Linked DNA regions of Canis lupus familiaris. The protein of the gene in region 1 interacts with the protein of each later gene in a pairwise test. Links are inferred from orthologs where the notes say so. Each region holds a gene or a part of one and is shown in the gene's direction. Other genes may lie near its edges.

Evidence for each region.
Region 2: the proteins of FEZ2 (region 1) and SCOC interact in binary tests that used the Homo sapiens proteins (3 or more experiments, as listed by UniProt). The link is inferred for Canis lupus familiaris from reciprocal best matches to the Homo sapiens genes FEZ2 and SCOC.

Annotation. Positions count from the first base shown.
Region 1 is NC_049238.1:29,239,753-29,248,532, reverse strand, and holds the start of FEZ2 (fasciculation and elongation protein zeta-2), read left to right. Parts: upstream 1-3,849; 5' UTR 3,850-3,888; coding exon 3,889-4,142; intron 4,143-8,480; coding exon 8,481-8,589; intron 8,590-8,780. UniProt on the Homo sapiens protein: Involved in axonal outgrowth and fasciculation.
Region 2 is NC_049240.1:3,208,277-3,216,799, reverse strand, and holds the start of SCOC (short coiled-coil protein), read left to right. Parts: upstream 1-3,923; 5' UTR 3,924-3,941; coding exon 3,942-4,011; intron 4,012-8,523. UniProt on the Homo sapiens protein: Positive regulator of amino acid starvation-induced autophagy.

The DNA of each region.
Region 1 (8,780 bases):
TGTACAATGTAGCGACTCAACAATTCTATACATTACTCAGTGCTCATCAGAAGTGCACTCTTTAATCTCCATCACCTATTTCACACCCCCCTCACCACCCCCCCCCCCCAACACTGGTAACCATCAGTTTTTTCTCTGTAACTAAGAGTCCACTTCTTGGTTTGCCTTTTTGTTTTGTCCATTTGTTTCTCACATTGCACATATAAGTGAAATAATATGGTATTTGTCTTTCTCTGACAGATTTATTTCACTTAGCACTGTACTCTCTAACTCCATCCATGTTGTTGCAAATGATAATATTTCATTCTTTTTTATCATGGAATAATATTCTATTGTGTATATATACCACATCTTTATCTGTTCATCTATCAATGGACATTTGGGCTGCTTCCATATTTGCTTATTGTAAATAATACTGCAATAAACATAGGGGTGCATATATCCTTTGGACTTAGTGTTTTTGTATTTTGGGGGTAAATATCCAGTAATGTGATTACTGGATTATAGCATAGTTCTATTTTTATTTTTTTAAGGAACTTCCATATTATTTTCCACAGTGGGTGTTCCCATTTACAGTCCCACCAACAGTGCGAGAGGATTCTTTTTGGTCCACATCCTTGCCAACACTTGTTGTTTCGTGTGTTTTTGATTTTACCCATTCTGACAAGTGTGAGGTGATATTAGATTCTTAACTTTTTGATGAGGCTATTTTGATGGAGCAATATTGGTGCAGCTTTTTGATGACAAGACATTTTGATCACTTAAAAAAAAAGAAAATGTTATACTTACAGCTTTAAAATTATAATACTCCGTGTAGAACAGGCATCTTCACTCCTAGTCTCACCTATCACAACCCCACTCACAACAAATTTTTCCTTCTACAAAGATAGCAAAAGAAATTTTTAAAGATTTTATTTATTTGAGATTTTTTTAAAGACTGTATTTATTTATATGAGAGAGAGAGAGAGAGAGAGAGAAGGAGCAGGGGGAGGGGCAAAAGGAGAGGGAGAAGCAGACTTTCCGAGGAGCAGGGAACCCAAATGAGGTTTCATCAGAGACTCCAAGATCATGAACCAAATTGAGGGCAGATGCTTAATCGAGCCACCTGGGTGCCCCTTATTTATTTATTTGAGAGAGAGAGCACACACACGTGTGAGTGCACATGCAGGAGGAGGGACTTTTTTCTTTTAATTGTATTTATTTACAGCCAAAGAATTTTAACATTTCTAGAAACAAAACCTTGGAGGGAGAAGAATAAAAAGGACCTGAGAAAATACAACTCCAAGGAAGTAGGGTATTTCAGTTTTAATGCTTATTCTTGTAATACCCTCATCTTTGTAAATTTTGGGGGACTCTGGTTGATTTTGTGGAATACTGCTGGATGCTATGTTTCCCTTGTCCTAACACCATTGAGACTATGGAAAATCTGGGGCCAGTAACTTTAAAAGAAATTCATATTAATAAGCATACTGGAAAATAGAGTGTAATGTATATGAGCAACATTAAATGTGTAACAGGTGATCCAGGGATCAGACATAAAGTAAAATCATTTACAGAATCAGTTTATATCATTCAAATGTGACCGAACCCTCCCAGTTTCTCTGGTAAACTACGCTGAATTGTCTGTGTCTATTCCTTTCTATAGACTGGTGGAGCCTCATGATGCTACCTCATCTCCTGAATGCACACTGTCAGTCTTCCATAGTGTCATCTTCTGACAGTGTGTCATTGTGCTCAATAGAGCTTTCTTACTTTTATTTTTTCATTCATTTTCCTCCCAATTCCATAGGATGTGGACTTTGTGTTCTTGAAGTTTGGCACCTTTTTTTTTTTCTTTCCTTCATATTGTTTCCTGTATGGGCCAGAGAGATTTCCCATCTCCCCTGAATTTCTTCTCAGAATGAGTCCCTCAGACTCAAGTCTTCAATAACAGTCTATCTTATTAATTTTGGATTACTTTCTACTGAAGTTAATTTACATAATTCTAGTACAAAATCCAGTTTCAATGAAACAGAAAAGTGGAAGAGGTGATCAACAAGTTAGCAATTTATCAATAATTACCATGGACAATGCATGCACTGATTTTAAATGTCTGTTTTGGATCCACTTTTAAGGAGAGCAGATGTTAAATAAGCAAGGCACATATGTATAGGACAGTTCTAACAAGTGATTTAATAAAGCCACACCTTTTTTTAAAAAAAGATTTTATTAATTTATTCATGAGAATACAAGAGAGGAGAGAGAGAGAGAGGCAGAGACACAGGCAGAGGGAGAAGCAGGCTCCATGCAGGGAGTCTGACATGGGACTCGATCCTAGGTCTCCAGGATCATGCCCTGGGCTGAAGGCGGCGCTAAACCGCTGAGCCACCAGGGCTGCCCTAAAGCCACACCTTTTAGAAAAAAATTGTGGTTAAATATACATAGCACAAAAATTAGCATTTTAATACATAAGTGTACTGTGGCATTAAGTACATTCATGTGCAACTATCACCATCATCTATCTCCAGAATTTTTTACCATCCCTAAAGGAAACTCTGTATCCATGAAACACTAACTCCTCCTCCCTTGCAACTCCATTCTATTTTCTATGATTTTGACTACTTAGGTACCTCATACAAGTGGAATCATACCACATATGTCCTTTTGTCTCTGGCTTCACTTAGCATAACATCTACAAGATTCATACTGTTTGTTGGTTTGCAACCCTCTTGGGAGCTTCCCAGATGCAATCTGAAATCAGCCTCCTTAGGTGGAGGGCAAAGACTAAGAAAGAAGAGGTCACTCCAAGTTGATATGTAGCAGTTTTAATAAGCAGAGGGAACTTACATACATAAGAGGCTTGCCTTTAGTGACAAGACAAATAGATCTCCACACCCACCTGCCAAATCTTAAAAGCTTATTAGGAGGCCTTAACTGGGTTCATTTATAGTATACCCTGCCAGTGTTCTCAACATACTGTCTGAAGGCTATGTCCTTGGAGCAGCCTCTGGGAACAGGAAAGGCAAGTGGAACCCCATTCCAAGGACAGGGAGGGAGGGGGGGGTGAAGAGACTTCCAGTGCCTGGGTCTAGCCCTTGGGTCAACTGGCAGGTACGTCTTTTCAGTTACCTTCTCCAATACCGTTTCAAGTACTTTGCAAATATTAATTGGGATCCCTGGGTGGCGCAGCGGTTTGGCGCCTGCCTTTGGCCCAGGGCGCGATCCTGGAGACCCGGGATCGAATCCCACGTCGGGCTCCCGGTGCATGGAGCCTGCTTCTCCCTCTGCCTATGTCTCTGCCTCTCTCTCTCTCTCTCTCTCTCACTGTGTGCTTATCATAAATAAATAAAAATTAAAAAAAAAAGAATAAACTTTGTTTAAAAAAAAAAATTAATTCATATAATTATTCATCTTTGTAGATTCCCCAGGGTCTAGAAAGTGCTTTGAACGTGTCAGATGTAAAATATCCTGGTAAGACTTAAGCATTTCCAAGTGGCTCTGTTTGTTCTTCTGGTTGGAAAGTCACAAAAGGAGCCGGTCCTACTCGGGGCACCATGTGATGATGCTAGGGTGCAAGTTTAAAGAAGCCCTTTATTTTAGTCACATGTCGGCCAGTTTCCCACTAAGCGAAGCTATTCCTGGACGATAGAGACTATAGGAAGTGACCCAACGTAATTAAGGCTTTCCATTCCACAGAGACCCGCAATCACCTGGGAGAAGACTCAGGAAAGGGAAAGATACCCAGGCCGGGCGGCCCGGACAGGCCCACGTGGGAGCTGGACGGAGGAGGCGGGGCCTGCGGGGGCGGGGCCTGCGGGGGGCGGGGCCTGCGGGGGGGCGGGGCCTTCGGCGGGGCGGGGCGGGGCCTTCGGCGGAGCGGGGCGGGGCGCGCCACTGCGCCGGGCGGCGATGGCGGCGGACGGGGACTGGCAGGATTTCTATGAGTTCCAGGAGCCAGCCCGGAGCCTCCAGGACCAGGAGAACTGTAACGCGAGCCCCGAGGCCGGCGCAGGGCCGGGCGGGGGAGGCGACGGCTTCCCGGCGCTGGCCTGCAGCTTGGAGGAGAAGCTGAGCCTGTGTTTCCGCCCCTCGGGTCCGGGCGCCGAGCCCCCGAGGGCGGCAGTGCGGCCCATCACCGAGTGCAGCCTCCTGCAGGGGGACGAGTGAGTGCGGGCCCGGCGGGAGCGGGCGGGAGCCTCCCCTGCCCTCGCGCTGCCCTCGCCCTGCCCTCGCCCTGCCCTCTGGCCCTGGCTCGGCGGCCTCGGCGGGCTCCGGCCACAGGCCCCGCCCCCCGCCCTCCTTCCGCCTCCCGGGCCCGCGAGGCCCCGCCCTCCTTCCTGCCCCGCGGCGCTCCCTGGGGCTTGCGGCCCCGCGCGCCCTGCGATTTAAATCCCCCGCTCCCCTGCGCTCCCTCCCCCTGGTCCCCTGCCCTCCTCCTGCTCCCTGGAAACCCAGGGTCCCCAGGCGGGGTTCCGAGGGGAGCCTCCGTCCACGGAGCCGGGAGTTAGACGTTGCACCTCCTCGGGCACGTGTGTAGCCGCTCATTCATTCAACTAGAGTTTATTTTTATTTAAGCGCTTAGTGCCAGGGGCTGCTTCGGCAGGGAAGACCCAGGTGACGGCACGGACCCCTCTCTCGTAGGGCACAACGTAGGAAGGGGCCTGGATTTGTCAACAGATAATTTGGTGTGGCTGTGACAAATGCTGTCCTGGACATAACGTGCGAAACCCAGGAGATTGATTGATTGATTGATTGATTTATTTATTTATTTATTTAATTATTTTTTGATCTAGGAGATTTAAAAGGGGATGTGTGGGAGAGGCAGGAAAGACTTCATAGGGAAAGAAATGTGAAAACTGGATCCCGATGGATGAGTGGGAGTTTGGCAGATGAAGAAAAGTCTAGCTAGCATGACAGCTCGCCGGTGTGGCACGTGCAAAGGTACCAACGCTGAAGCAGCTCTTATGCCATAGGAATTTATTGGCTCCATCTGAGAGCCCAGGTGGCGTGCAGATCCCCACAGAGGCAAACACACACACACACACACACACACACAAAACAAAAACAACAACAACAACAACAACAAAAAACAAACGAAAGAAAGGCTGTGGTTATTAATAGCAAGGATCTCCTAGTCTGGTGGGACAAGGAATGCATTAACAGGTAGTTATTATACAATCATATAAGTGCAGTGATAGGATATTGATAGGGATTGGTGAGAGCTGCCTAAGGGGGAGGGAGGCAGAGTGCCTGGGAGGGGGCACTTTGTTTGACTGTCTGGAACCCCAGTTATAATTTGTCTAAAAATGGGTTGTGATTATGTACCACGGTTTCACCCCCAAAAGATTGTAAAAGGAATGGTGAGAGCAAAGGAGCTGAGCATATTGTATAGGTCTGGGGAAGCTGAGGGTGCAAGGAATGGAAAGGTCTGGGGAAGCTGAGGGTGCAAGGAATGGAATAAACACTGTGGAATAGGTAGGGATGGGTTTTTAGAGCCTTGATGGAATGGAGAGATTAGAGGTTAGGGAAGGATTCTTGAGAGAGAGAGAGAAGGATCCACAGGCATAGAAAGGGCCTTTCCGCCTGATGGCCTCCTTTCCTCTGTGAATATGGTAGGAAGCTTGAGAAGAGGGATTGGGGGGATGAGGGCCTGTGAACATGACTTAGTGGGTGTTCCACCCCAGCTAGGTTGGGGACCATATCATTTCATTGGCACCCGTGTACAGTGTTCCACCCAGTGTGAAGGGAAGAGTTTATGACTGGATTTTATACACGCACGAATGCAGCCAGTAGCAGAAGATGACATTTTGGAAAGTCTGTTCCTAGAGAAGATAGTTTTATATATATATGTAGATTTAGAGGCTCTGAGTCACTAGGACTCAGGACATCTTCTGAATTAAAAAATGATAGTTATGATGCATTTGGGTTTGTCAGACGTAACTCCTCAGAATAGATTTGTGGTTTGTACACAAATGCTAAGGTTCCCTATTTTTGCTTTGCCTGTACTGTCTAGAACGTAGTTTATTTTAGTCTCTGCTTAAATTTTAGGGTGATGTAAAGCTTGAAAAAATTTTTTTGTTACTCTTGATAATGGTTTTTAGTAGATGATATGTTGGTAGGAATTCATGGTTCTTGATTTCGGAATGTGTAACCTGTCTATTTCTCTCTCCAGGGGCCGGGTTGGTCACTGCTCACTGCCCCCTTTCTGTTGCATAAATCTCTCCATTGCTTGATAAGAGCAATGGGACTTTCCTTAGTACGACTCATTTGAAATACTGCTTAGAGTAATAGAGTTGGAAGCAATGTCTGTTACTCAAGCCTCTCATTTTATAGAAGGGTGGCTCTTAACTAGCATGGTTAAGGAACATGGCCAAAGACTCATGGCCCTGCTCCTCTCACTAGAGAGAGTTGAGAATTCTTTCACTCAGACATTGCATTGGTTTAGGGCACTTTATTTAATTTCTCTGAGCCCCACTTTTAGTTTTGGCTAACTCTGCATTGCGCTTATCTGCTACTGGTTTTACTTTAGAAGGGTATCATGTAGGATTCCATGTCACAGAACTTTGATCTCCCTGGAAAAGGGCTGTCCTGCTGGTTGTTTATGACTGATTGTAATACTTTATGATAAGGATAAAGGCAATTCATGTCTGTTCTGGAGAAATCTGGAAATCATTCACTTCAGTCAGCCCTGTGTCCTTCCTGCTATAATTGTTCTGACCTTGGTGGAGATAGAGGACTGTTAATTGTCCTTCACTTTCTTGGAAGGTGAAAATCACCCAGTCTCTTCTACTGGGTGAAATATTCCACTCCACTTGTCTTCTTCCAGCCTCAATTAAGGAGAAGCAAACAAGCAGTCCCCGAATCCTGGACTGTCTTCACCTGCTAGCATATCCTACTTGATTTCCTAAGCAGGGTTAGGTATATAGTCAGTTATTCAGTATTTGAGTATCTTTTATCCAGAAAGGTAGGGGTCAGAAAACCCATGAAGTTTAGCAGTCCAGAGTTGTTGCCTTCTATAGGAGTTTTTGGCATCGGAGAAGGTTGTGATTCTAACAGAGAGGAGAGTAGAAATGAACTATGCATATGGGAGATGTGCTGGGTAAACGAGCCAGTTTCCTAGAGCTTTTTGGGTTCACATTTTCATTGAGGCTAATATGCATTCCAAAGCCAAACATCATTTTTGGGATTTTATGTTTTTGGCACTTATGGTCCCATTACTTCGCTTTAGTACCAAATCCCAAATTCATTAAATCAAGTATATTGCTTCTTTATTTTTAAGCTTGCATTCTTATTTTTATGCCTCCAGTGGTCTAGTTCTTAGTGGCTTAGACACTTGGGAAAAAAACAAAACAAACAACAACCCAGTTATTTAATGCTTTTTTCCTCCTTATGACATCTATGTATTTCTGCCCATTAAATAACTTAATGTATGTAGTGTTTAACTTACCCAATTAAATTTAATCTCATTTATATCTCTGAAGTCATTTTTTAATACAGTGTCATGTTTTATTATGCTGTGATTACTTTGGTACTGAAATCTGAATTTTGGTCATGAAGTTGGAGTTAGCTGTCCTTATCCGGTGTGGCTTGGGACTTTCCTTAGTACAACTCATTTGAAATACTGCTTAGAGTAATAGAGTTGGAAGCAATGTCTGTTACTCAAGCCTCTCATTTTATAGAAGGGTAGCTCTTAACTAGCATGGTTAAGGAACATGGCCAAAGACTTATGGTTTGAAGAAGAATGGAAACGAGAGTCTATGTTTCCTGAATTTTAATCAAGCACCCTTTCGTTTTACTCTGTTGCTTCCCCAAAATGCTGTTTGACAATAAGGAAGTACCCTTCCATTGCATTGGCTACCTTTGTGCATTTTATTGTGAATGCCCCTTTCTTTCCTCTATTTTATCTGTCCTAGCCTATTATATTACAAAATAGATATTAAACTCCAGTCTCACATTGAGACTGAATCCTTTCTCCAGAAAGGACAACACATTTTTGGTTAGAGAAAGATTACTCACCCTATGAAATGATCAATATGTTTGGAAGTTACAGAAGAAAAATAAGTGTAAAACACAGCATATGTACTACCCATTTGGCTCTGGAAACATTACGTGAACTCCCTGTATTTTAATTTCCTCATCTTTAAAATGGGGTAATAACGGTTCTTCATAATACTGTTTTTGAGGATTAAATGAGTTAATATATATAAATTGCTTAGGACGGTGCCTGGCACCTAGTGTAGTGGAAATGTGAGCTGTCGATTTTGAGAGAGTTTTTAATACCACTGTGTCTTCCCTCAGCTCTTCTTGTCAGCCCAATTATCTGGTTTTCCTTTAGTCGTCTTTAGGAGGCTCTTCTTTGTTGGTGTTTTTCTGGAAAACAGTAGGCCTTCCATTGTTTTGCTTTGAAATGTCTTGTTCTTTCTTTCACTATAGTTGTATTTGTTTAATAAAAGACATGTGGGATGTTAACTATCATTGATTGTAGTTTTATTCTTTTTAAGGATTTGGAACGCCCTGACAGATAATTATGGAAACGTAATGCCTGTAGACTGGAAGTCATCTCACACCAGAACCTTGCATTTGCTTACACTGAACCTCTCAGAAAAAGGGGTAAGTTAGGAACTGAGCTAATAATTTCTGAATAACTGATTCTGATAATAGAACTAAAAAATAGCCTCTCTGTTGAACACAAATCATTGTGTTGCCTCTTATTTCCAAGTTCATAGCATTTGGAGTGGCCCTCTGTTGCCATCTTAGCTCCATTGCTGTCAGCTTGCTAGCACTTTCCTCCAGTTCTTCCC
Region 2 (8,523 bases), on another chromosome or scaffold:
ACCACTGAGCCACCCAGACATCCCCAAAATACCCATACTCATTAAATAATCACTCCACATTTCCTCCTTCCCCCATCCCACGTTTTCTGCCTCTATAGACTTTCCTATTCTGAATATATCACATAAAAGGAATCATATAAATATATTACTCTTTGTGTCTAGCTTCTTTTACTTAACATGTTTTCAAGATTCATTTCAGTCATAGCATGTATTAGCACTGTGATCCTGCTTTTTGATTAATAATATCTCATTGTATTTGTATATCACAATATGTTTATCCATTCATCCACTGACAGACATTTGGGTTGTTTCCACCTTTTGGCTTCTATGTATAATGCTACTATAAGCATTCATATATATAACTTTCTGTGTGGACATATATTTTTTATAACTTTTGGGTATATACCACAGGAGTGGAATCTCTGGGTTATATGATAATTCTATGTTTAGTTTTTTGAGGAATTGCCAAGATATTTTCCACTGTGGCTGCATCATTGTACATTCCCACCAGCAATGAATGAAAGTTCTTATTTCTCCATATCCTTGCCATTAGGTTCCAGTTTTGTTATTGTTGTTTTTATTAATGCCATCCTAGTAGGTGTGAGGTGGTATCTCACTGTGGTTTTTTTAAAAAAAGATTTTTTAAAATTTATTTATTCATAGAGACACAGAGAGAGAGAGAGGCAGAGACACAGGCAGAGGGAGAAGCAGGCTCCATGCAGGGAGCCCGATGTGGGACTCGATCCCGGGTCTCCAGGATCATGCCCTAGGCTGCAGGCGGCGCCAAACCGCTGTGCCACCGGGGCTGCCCTCTCACTGTGGTTTTGATTTGCATTTTCTTAATGACCAATAAAATTTAACATATTTTCATGTGTTTATTTGCTATTTACATATCTTCTTTGGAGAAATATCTGTTCATGTTCTTCACTCATTTTAAAAATTAGGTTTTCTTTTTGTTGTTGAATCATAAGAGTTCTTTATATATTCTAGAAATTGAAGTCTTATCAAATATGCAATTTGTAAGTATTTTATCCCATTCTGTAGATAGCCTTCCCACATTCTGATAATGTCCTTTGATGTACATACTATTTACATTTTTATGAAGTCCAAGTTATTTTTAATTCGTTGCTCATGTTTTTGCTGTCAAATCCAGGAATACATTGCCAGATCCATGTCAATCTTCAAATTCATCTGAAATTTCAAGGGACCCCAAATAGTCAAAACATTATTTAAAAACAAAGTTGGAGTACTCATACTTCCTGATTTCAAAGCTTACCACAAAGCCACAGTAATCAAAGCAGTGCAGTACTGACATAAGGATAGACATATAAACCAATGGAACAGAACTGAGATTCCAACACTAACCCCAAACATCTATGACCGATTGATTTTTTTTTTTAACCAATTGATTTTTGACAAAGATCCCAAAACCATCCAATGAGGGAAAAAATGTTCTCTTCAACAAATGGTGTTGGGATAACTAAATATCCAAATACAAAGAAGTGAAGCTGCATCCCTACCTTACTCCACATAGAAAAATGATACTGAAAATGGTTCAATGACTTAAATATGAGAGCCAAAACAATAAAACTATTAGGAGAAAACATAGGGGGAAATATTCACTATTGATAATTTCAGGCCATAGATAATTCTTTTTTTAAAAAAGATTTTATTTATTCATGAGAGACACAAAGAGAGAGAGAGGCAGAGACACAGAGGGAGAAGCAGGCTCCATGCCGGGAGCCTGAAGTGAGACTTGATCCTGAGACTCCAGGATCGTGCCCTGAGCCACTCAGGTGCGCCCAACCCATAGGTAATTCTGCACTCCAGTTAAAAGTGAACATTCCATCATAACTATTGCCCAAAGACTATGGAGATAGTAGCAATGCTGATGGACTTGAGTTTTATCTCTTTTCATTCCCCTGTCCATTAGGATAGATATTTCATAACAAATGACCTTTTTTAAAAAAAAAAAAAAAGATAATCCGAAAGAAGGCAAAGAACATAGGCTAATTCTAGCAAAATGCACAATTGGCCATGAATAATAAAAATAAAACCCAATAAAATAAAATAAAATAAAACCCAAATATGCAATTTAATCAAATGTGCCCTTTGATTTCTAAATTCTTTTACCAGGTTAATTAATTCTTCTCTTCCATCCTCTGCCTAATAATTTTATTAGGAGTAGTTAATATAGAGGTTAAGAGCAAGTGCTTGCAGGAATGTCCTAGGAGACACAGGACTGCCCTTATGATCAGCTTTGACTATAGTATTCTTTGACAACCTTGTTGACACTTCCTTAACGTGAAAGATAAGCTAGGCCTTCCCTCCTGGTTTCTCCTCACTGGGTTAGTCTTGCATCATTGTCTGATGGCTCTCCCAGCCTTTCCTTTGCTCTTTCTCTATTTTTTCTCACCCTTTTAATCCCATGTAAGTGTCCAATTCTTAGAGGACTGGACACAGTCTGGCATTCAACGCTCTCTTAGATATGGCCTTACCCCATATTCATCCTTATCTCCTATGCCTTAGCTATGTACATCCTCCACTCTTGGTTCCCATATGTGCTTACTTTTTTCCCATCTCTGAGTCTTTGTCCATGTTCCTTCACTGAGAAAGTGCTTACCAGTGGCCATTTTTGCCTATTGGATTCCACTTGTCATTGATCATGCATCTCAAATGTCACTGCCTCTAGCCTTTCAAGATCTGCTAGCCAGACATACTCTTTCCCTTTTATAAACCTCCAGAACTCTTGCCTTTGAGCTCTTTTATAAGCCTATTAACAGCAATAACCATCCGTTACTTTGAACCCTCCAAAGTCCCTAGCTTGTATAGAACAGGCACTCAATATTTATAGACTGTCATTAGAAAATTAGAGGGAATTCTATTCTAGCGAATTTAATTTTTAACATTCAGGATTTCCAACAGCTCACATCCATTTTGCTTGATATAGTAACAATGAACTCAGGTGAATAAAAAAAAAATCCTATGTATCAAAGCACTTAAGGTAGAACTTATTATGTAGTAAGTCAATTTTGATATCTGCTTAAAATTCTTCATCAAACTTGCTGATTTATTCCCCTCCCCCCACCCGAAAGAGCGATGACATGACATTCTAAGATAGTTTTGGGTTTGTCTACATATCTGACTATGGATGAGATGACCAAGAAAAATAGTTATAAAAGAATGCTTCCTCCTCTAACAAAGGGCTATCGGCCTAAGGGCTGGCAAGGCTACCATCCTCTCCCTTGGATTCCTCCAGGATAGAGAAAGGAGATCTATCATTTTAATAAGCCTTCATAGGGTCAGGTACAAACACAGTAATATGAGAGGGCACTGATGAGCTCACTACATAGAGAATTTTACTTCCTCGCATACGTCTGATGATTTGTGATCATTACTGTGGTTGACGTTTATCAAGTGAATGTTACTCACTCTTAATTCTTATAAAAGATTTGTCATCATATAGGACAGGAAACTGAGGCTCTGTGACCGAGTCCTGCTGCTAGGTCACCGACCAAAATCCTTGACAAATTTATGGTTGGTGTCCCAAAAATATGCTAACCACATAAAATTTAATCTCTTCCCCCAGCCTCATTCTAGCGCCTTTTGGGCAATGTTCCTGGGCAATTCAGCTCAAGCAAACTGTCACTGGACTGAAGGTAAGGTTTGGCTTTTGGCCAGGGTACAGCAGTAACGCTAGCTCAACAGCTCCAGGTAAAGGATTATAACTCTTTAACTTGGGTCTCTATTTCCGGGTTAGGACTGCACTGTTCAGGTAAGAACCTCTCAGGTGGAAAGCAGGAAGAAAGGGGCCAGTGCAAGGATCAGATAAAAAAATGAGCGTGGACGCTCACTTATTAATGATTTAACACGGGCGATCACATGGAGAACAGTCGTTTCCCCTGTCCTCATTTTTCTAACAGGCCAGAAAAGTGAACAAGATGGACGGGTCCAGCAAAGAGGAAGAGGAGGACAACACATTCACCAGCATTCCTCTTACAGATGACATAGGTAAGGAAGAGCTTGATGAATTCTGAAACATAAAATCCAGCTACTGCTCAGTTTTTAAAAAACATATAACTTATTATTTTTATTATAATGCTAAAACACGCTCATTATCGAAAACTTAAAAAAATATAGCTACCAAAATAAAACAAAAAATTTTTCTTTAAGAGCTATTTTTCTTTTCCTTTTAAGTTAAGTGATTATTTGGAAAGTTTCTGTGGTTGTATTACATCTTCTTTTGAAATAAATCAGCAAGCAAAAATATAAAATGTTTATTTCCTAAAAGCCCAGGAAATATAACCTTAAAGTTGTTAACCAAAACAACCTATGTTATCACCATTTTTTGTTGAATTACAGTCAATTTCTTCTCTATTTTGTAAAATAATTTGATCATCTCCGAAAAATAAACTAGGATTTACTGTGATTGACTTTAAGAATTATTTCCAAAAAATGCCTTGATTTTAAGCAAGGGCAAAGTTTGGTGAATTCAACACGAGAGAAGCAAAAAAGGGGAGGATAGTGGTTCTAAAATGCTGATGGAAGGGATAACTATGGCTCATTCAACATCCCAGAGAAATCAGACAATGCTGAGTTGCACAATGTTAACTGGAAACACTTCAAACCCATAAGCACCCACATCTTGGGGTGTGTGTATGTGTGTGTGTGTGTGTGTGTGTTGTTGGCATTGTTTTGTATCCAAGTTTCTTTAGCACAATCATAGTAAGAAGCCAGCAAGACAGAAGCTAAGCAATGGGGGTTACTGATTTTGATTAACAGAGAGCAGAGCATGAATATTTAACATCAATTGCTCTTTCATACAGCCACGCTTCTCCACTTTCTCCCTAAATGCTCAGATTCAAAAAGCCTCTTTCTAAAGTGCAGCCAGACAATTAGCACAAACCGCCAGCCAGCCAGCCAGAGCTAAGCTTCCCCTCCTGGCACCGCATAAACATGCTGGGGGCTTTGGAAATCAAAGAGGAGCATTTTCAGCCTTTATGAGGAGAGGCAAGGTACAAGGTACGCGGGCTGTTGAAGAAACGGGACACCGCTGGCCTTAACATGCTCCCGCCGGGGTGTTGGAGCAAATGACAGGCTGCAGAAGGCAGGGAAGGAAACAAAGACCAAGGGAAACCTGTCTCTTAGCTTCTAGAAGGCACGATGAGTGAGAAGGCTATGCGTGGGGAGCCGTATATGCTGTGGGTGGGTGCAGTTCATACAGAGTGCTTGCCTGCTCTAAAATCACTGCAATCCACGATTCTTTCTAGATGGTAGCGTGGGCTGGGCCTGAAAGCAGGGACGGGGCTGTGGCAGGGAAATGAGACTTTGTGAAACGGTTCTTTCATCCAGCCCTCGGGCCTTCCAGGTCTCAGCTTCGGCCACCCCCATGCTGGCAGCGCAGACAAAGGCAGATGAGGGCAAGGGGGGCGGGGGTTGAAGTGTCCCTCCTCTGCTGGCAAAGGTTTGGAGAGGGACCCTGGGGAGTTGCCTGCTGAGCCTGAGCGCCCTGGGGCAGGGTAAGCAGGACCACCAGGCTGGCCATGAATGGTGGCCGCAGGAGGGCAGGGCCAGTGTCTCCTTGCTCCCTCTTGCTGCCCCCCCCTCCTTGGTTAGAGGAGGCCGCATCGTGGAGGGCAAAGGGCCTTAAGGGGTGGGATGGTCCAGCATGGTACCCGGCGGTGGGCTGAGCCATGAGTGCTCATCTGTGCTGCTTCACGGTTTCAAGATGTCAAATACAAATTGTTCATATGCTTGTGACAAAAATGCACTGAAGCACCGCGTTGTTTTTGGCTTCTGGAGATAATTTTATCAATTTGATGCGGTAACCCTGTGGTTTGCTTTTGTTAATAAGGGGTTCCTTGGTCTTTGATAAATAAAAACAGGGAAACAAATTATTCTGAAATAAATGCACCTGGTTTAGCAGACATCATTCAAATCATGGAGTCTGTACAGGAGCAAAGCATTAGAAGGGTATTGCTTATATTAGGAAAAGTTTAATCCAATTTCTCAGTCTTCTTTCAATATATATTATGATATTTGTATTGCTACAGGCCACACACACACACACACACACACACACACACACACACACACACACACATAAAGAGGCCCAGAGAGGCTAGGTGACTTGCCCAAGGTGCACGCTGGCTAGCCTCATGTGCTATTTGAATGGAGCTGCTAGCTGCTAGATAACGGAGCTTCTCATGCAGGGTCTTTGAGTATATAGTCAGGTCTCAGGTGCCCTGGTGCTGAGTCCCACCTTGGCCGCTTTAGACAGTCACTGTCTCCTTTCACTCCCTCCCCACCCCTTTCCCCTGTTTCTTTTCTAATCAGAGGAAGGCAAGAGAAAGGAGAAGAATATATTTGCAAACTCTGGGGAAAGGCTGGTTTGGGGAGAGCACTGAAGGCACTGAACTTTGGATTTATTTAGGTAATCCTACTTCCCAAGTTAGTATAAAGCTCTGACAACTAGCGGGTAGCAGTTACTCAAATCAGAAACCAGTCAAGACTCCATAAATTCATTTGTAGGTTAGTCACATGGATTTCAGACCAAACGACTCCATAGAAACACAGTTATAAATGACAGGATTCTAGACCAGCTCCTATTGTCTAACCCCATAGTTCCCAGACTCTGTGCCAAGGTGTCTCAGGGCACCACAGCAAACCTATAGGGGGTTCTATGGGGCACACCAACCTCTAGCAGACATTGTGAGCATGGCCCGCTAGAGACTGTTCACAATTTCACATGAGCTAGAGCTACATTTTTTCCAATGACCTCTCTTTCCATGCCGGGTTTACTGTAGTTGCTGTGATAAAAAGCAAGTTCTGTATAAAAATCAATGTAGATCAGTTAATGAGAGTGTCAGTTTGAGAAGGTTGGTGAAGTTTTACAGTGCCCAACAGAGGCATACATCCCATAAGTGAGTCATTGTGGTTAAGAATGACATAAAAAAAATAGATTAAAAATTTCTTTTAGGTATAGTATTTTTTCAAACGGTTATTAAGTTTTAAGGACATAAATACTTAACATGTTTGGACCTAAATACTTAATACATGGAACTTGTTTGGTATTTCTCTTGGCCTTGGAGCACTGTGAAAAAAAAAAAAAACCACTTATACTCAAGGGTATTGTGAACCAAGGTAGCTTGGGGATGTCTGGTCTAAGCTGTACTGTCTGTAGCTGGGCGGGCCTCCCTTCCGGGTTGGAGGCATACAACACAGAACAGAGACACTTGATAGTCTCTCCCTCCCTTCCTTCCTTCCTTCCTCCCACCCTCCCTCCCTTGCTTCCTTCCTTCTCATGTTTCGGCTCCCCTGGATTTGATGCTATTACACTTCTCAGGTTCCCCTTCAACCTCTCTCATCCTTAATCAGGCTCCTTTGGGAATCTGTTTCCTCAAGTGTTTCCCCAAACTTCTGTCCTTGACCTAGTTTTCTTCTCTCTCTAGACACATTCCCTGGATGATCTCATCCATGCCTCCTAGTTCCATCCTCCCATCTAGGCCATATACCAGTGACAATACAATACAGGTTGCAAATTCAAACGCCTTTAGGGCCAGGCAATGATTCATGGTATATCATCATTTATTTCAATTTCTTTAAAAAGCTATTGAAATTTCAATTCTTTTTTCAGTTTATTGGCTTTCTCATTGTGCATCTTTTTTTTCTTTTAATGTGGTAAGAACACTAAATATGAAATACACCTTCTTAACAGATTTATAAGTGCACAATACAGTATTGTTAACTATGGGCACAACATTATACATCAGATCTCTAGACTTACTCATCTTACATAACTGACATTCTAAACCCGCTGATTAGCAGCTGCTCCTTCTCCCTTCTCCCCAGACACCCCTGCAACCACCATTCTATTCTTTGCTTCTATGAGTCTTAGATGCCTCATATAAATGGAATCATACAGTATTTCAGTCACAGAAGGACTGGCTTATTTCACTTAGTATAACGTCCACATGGTTCATTCATGCTCTGGCATATTGTGGGATTTCTTTCTTTTTAAAGGCTGAATAATATTCCACTGCATATATATACACATTTTCTGTTTATCCATTCATCTGCTGATGCACATTTAAGCTGTTTCCACATCTTGACTCTTGTGAATAATGCAGCAATGAATGTGAGAGTGCTCATATCTTTTCAAGGTCCTGATTTCAATTCTTTTGGATAAATATCCAGAAGTACAGTGGCTGGATCATATGGTATTTTTGTTTTTAACTTTTTAAAAGTAATCTCTATGCCCAGTGGGCATAGACCCTGAGATCAAGAGCTGCGTGCTTTACTGAGGCAGACAGTTGCACCTATTTTTAACTTTTTGAGGAAACTCCATACTGTTTTCCACAGCAGCTGTACAATTTTACTTTCCCACCAATAGAGTAAAAGGGTACCAATTTCTTCACATCCCCACCAACACTTGTCTTTTTTTTTCAATGATAGCTGTCCAATCATTACAGTTTTGATTTGCATTCCCCTGATGATTAGTCACATTGAGCATCTTTTTACACA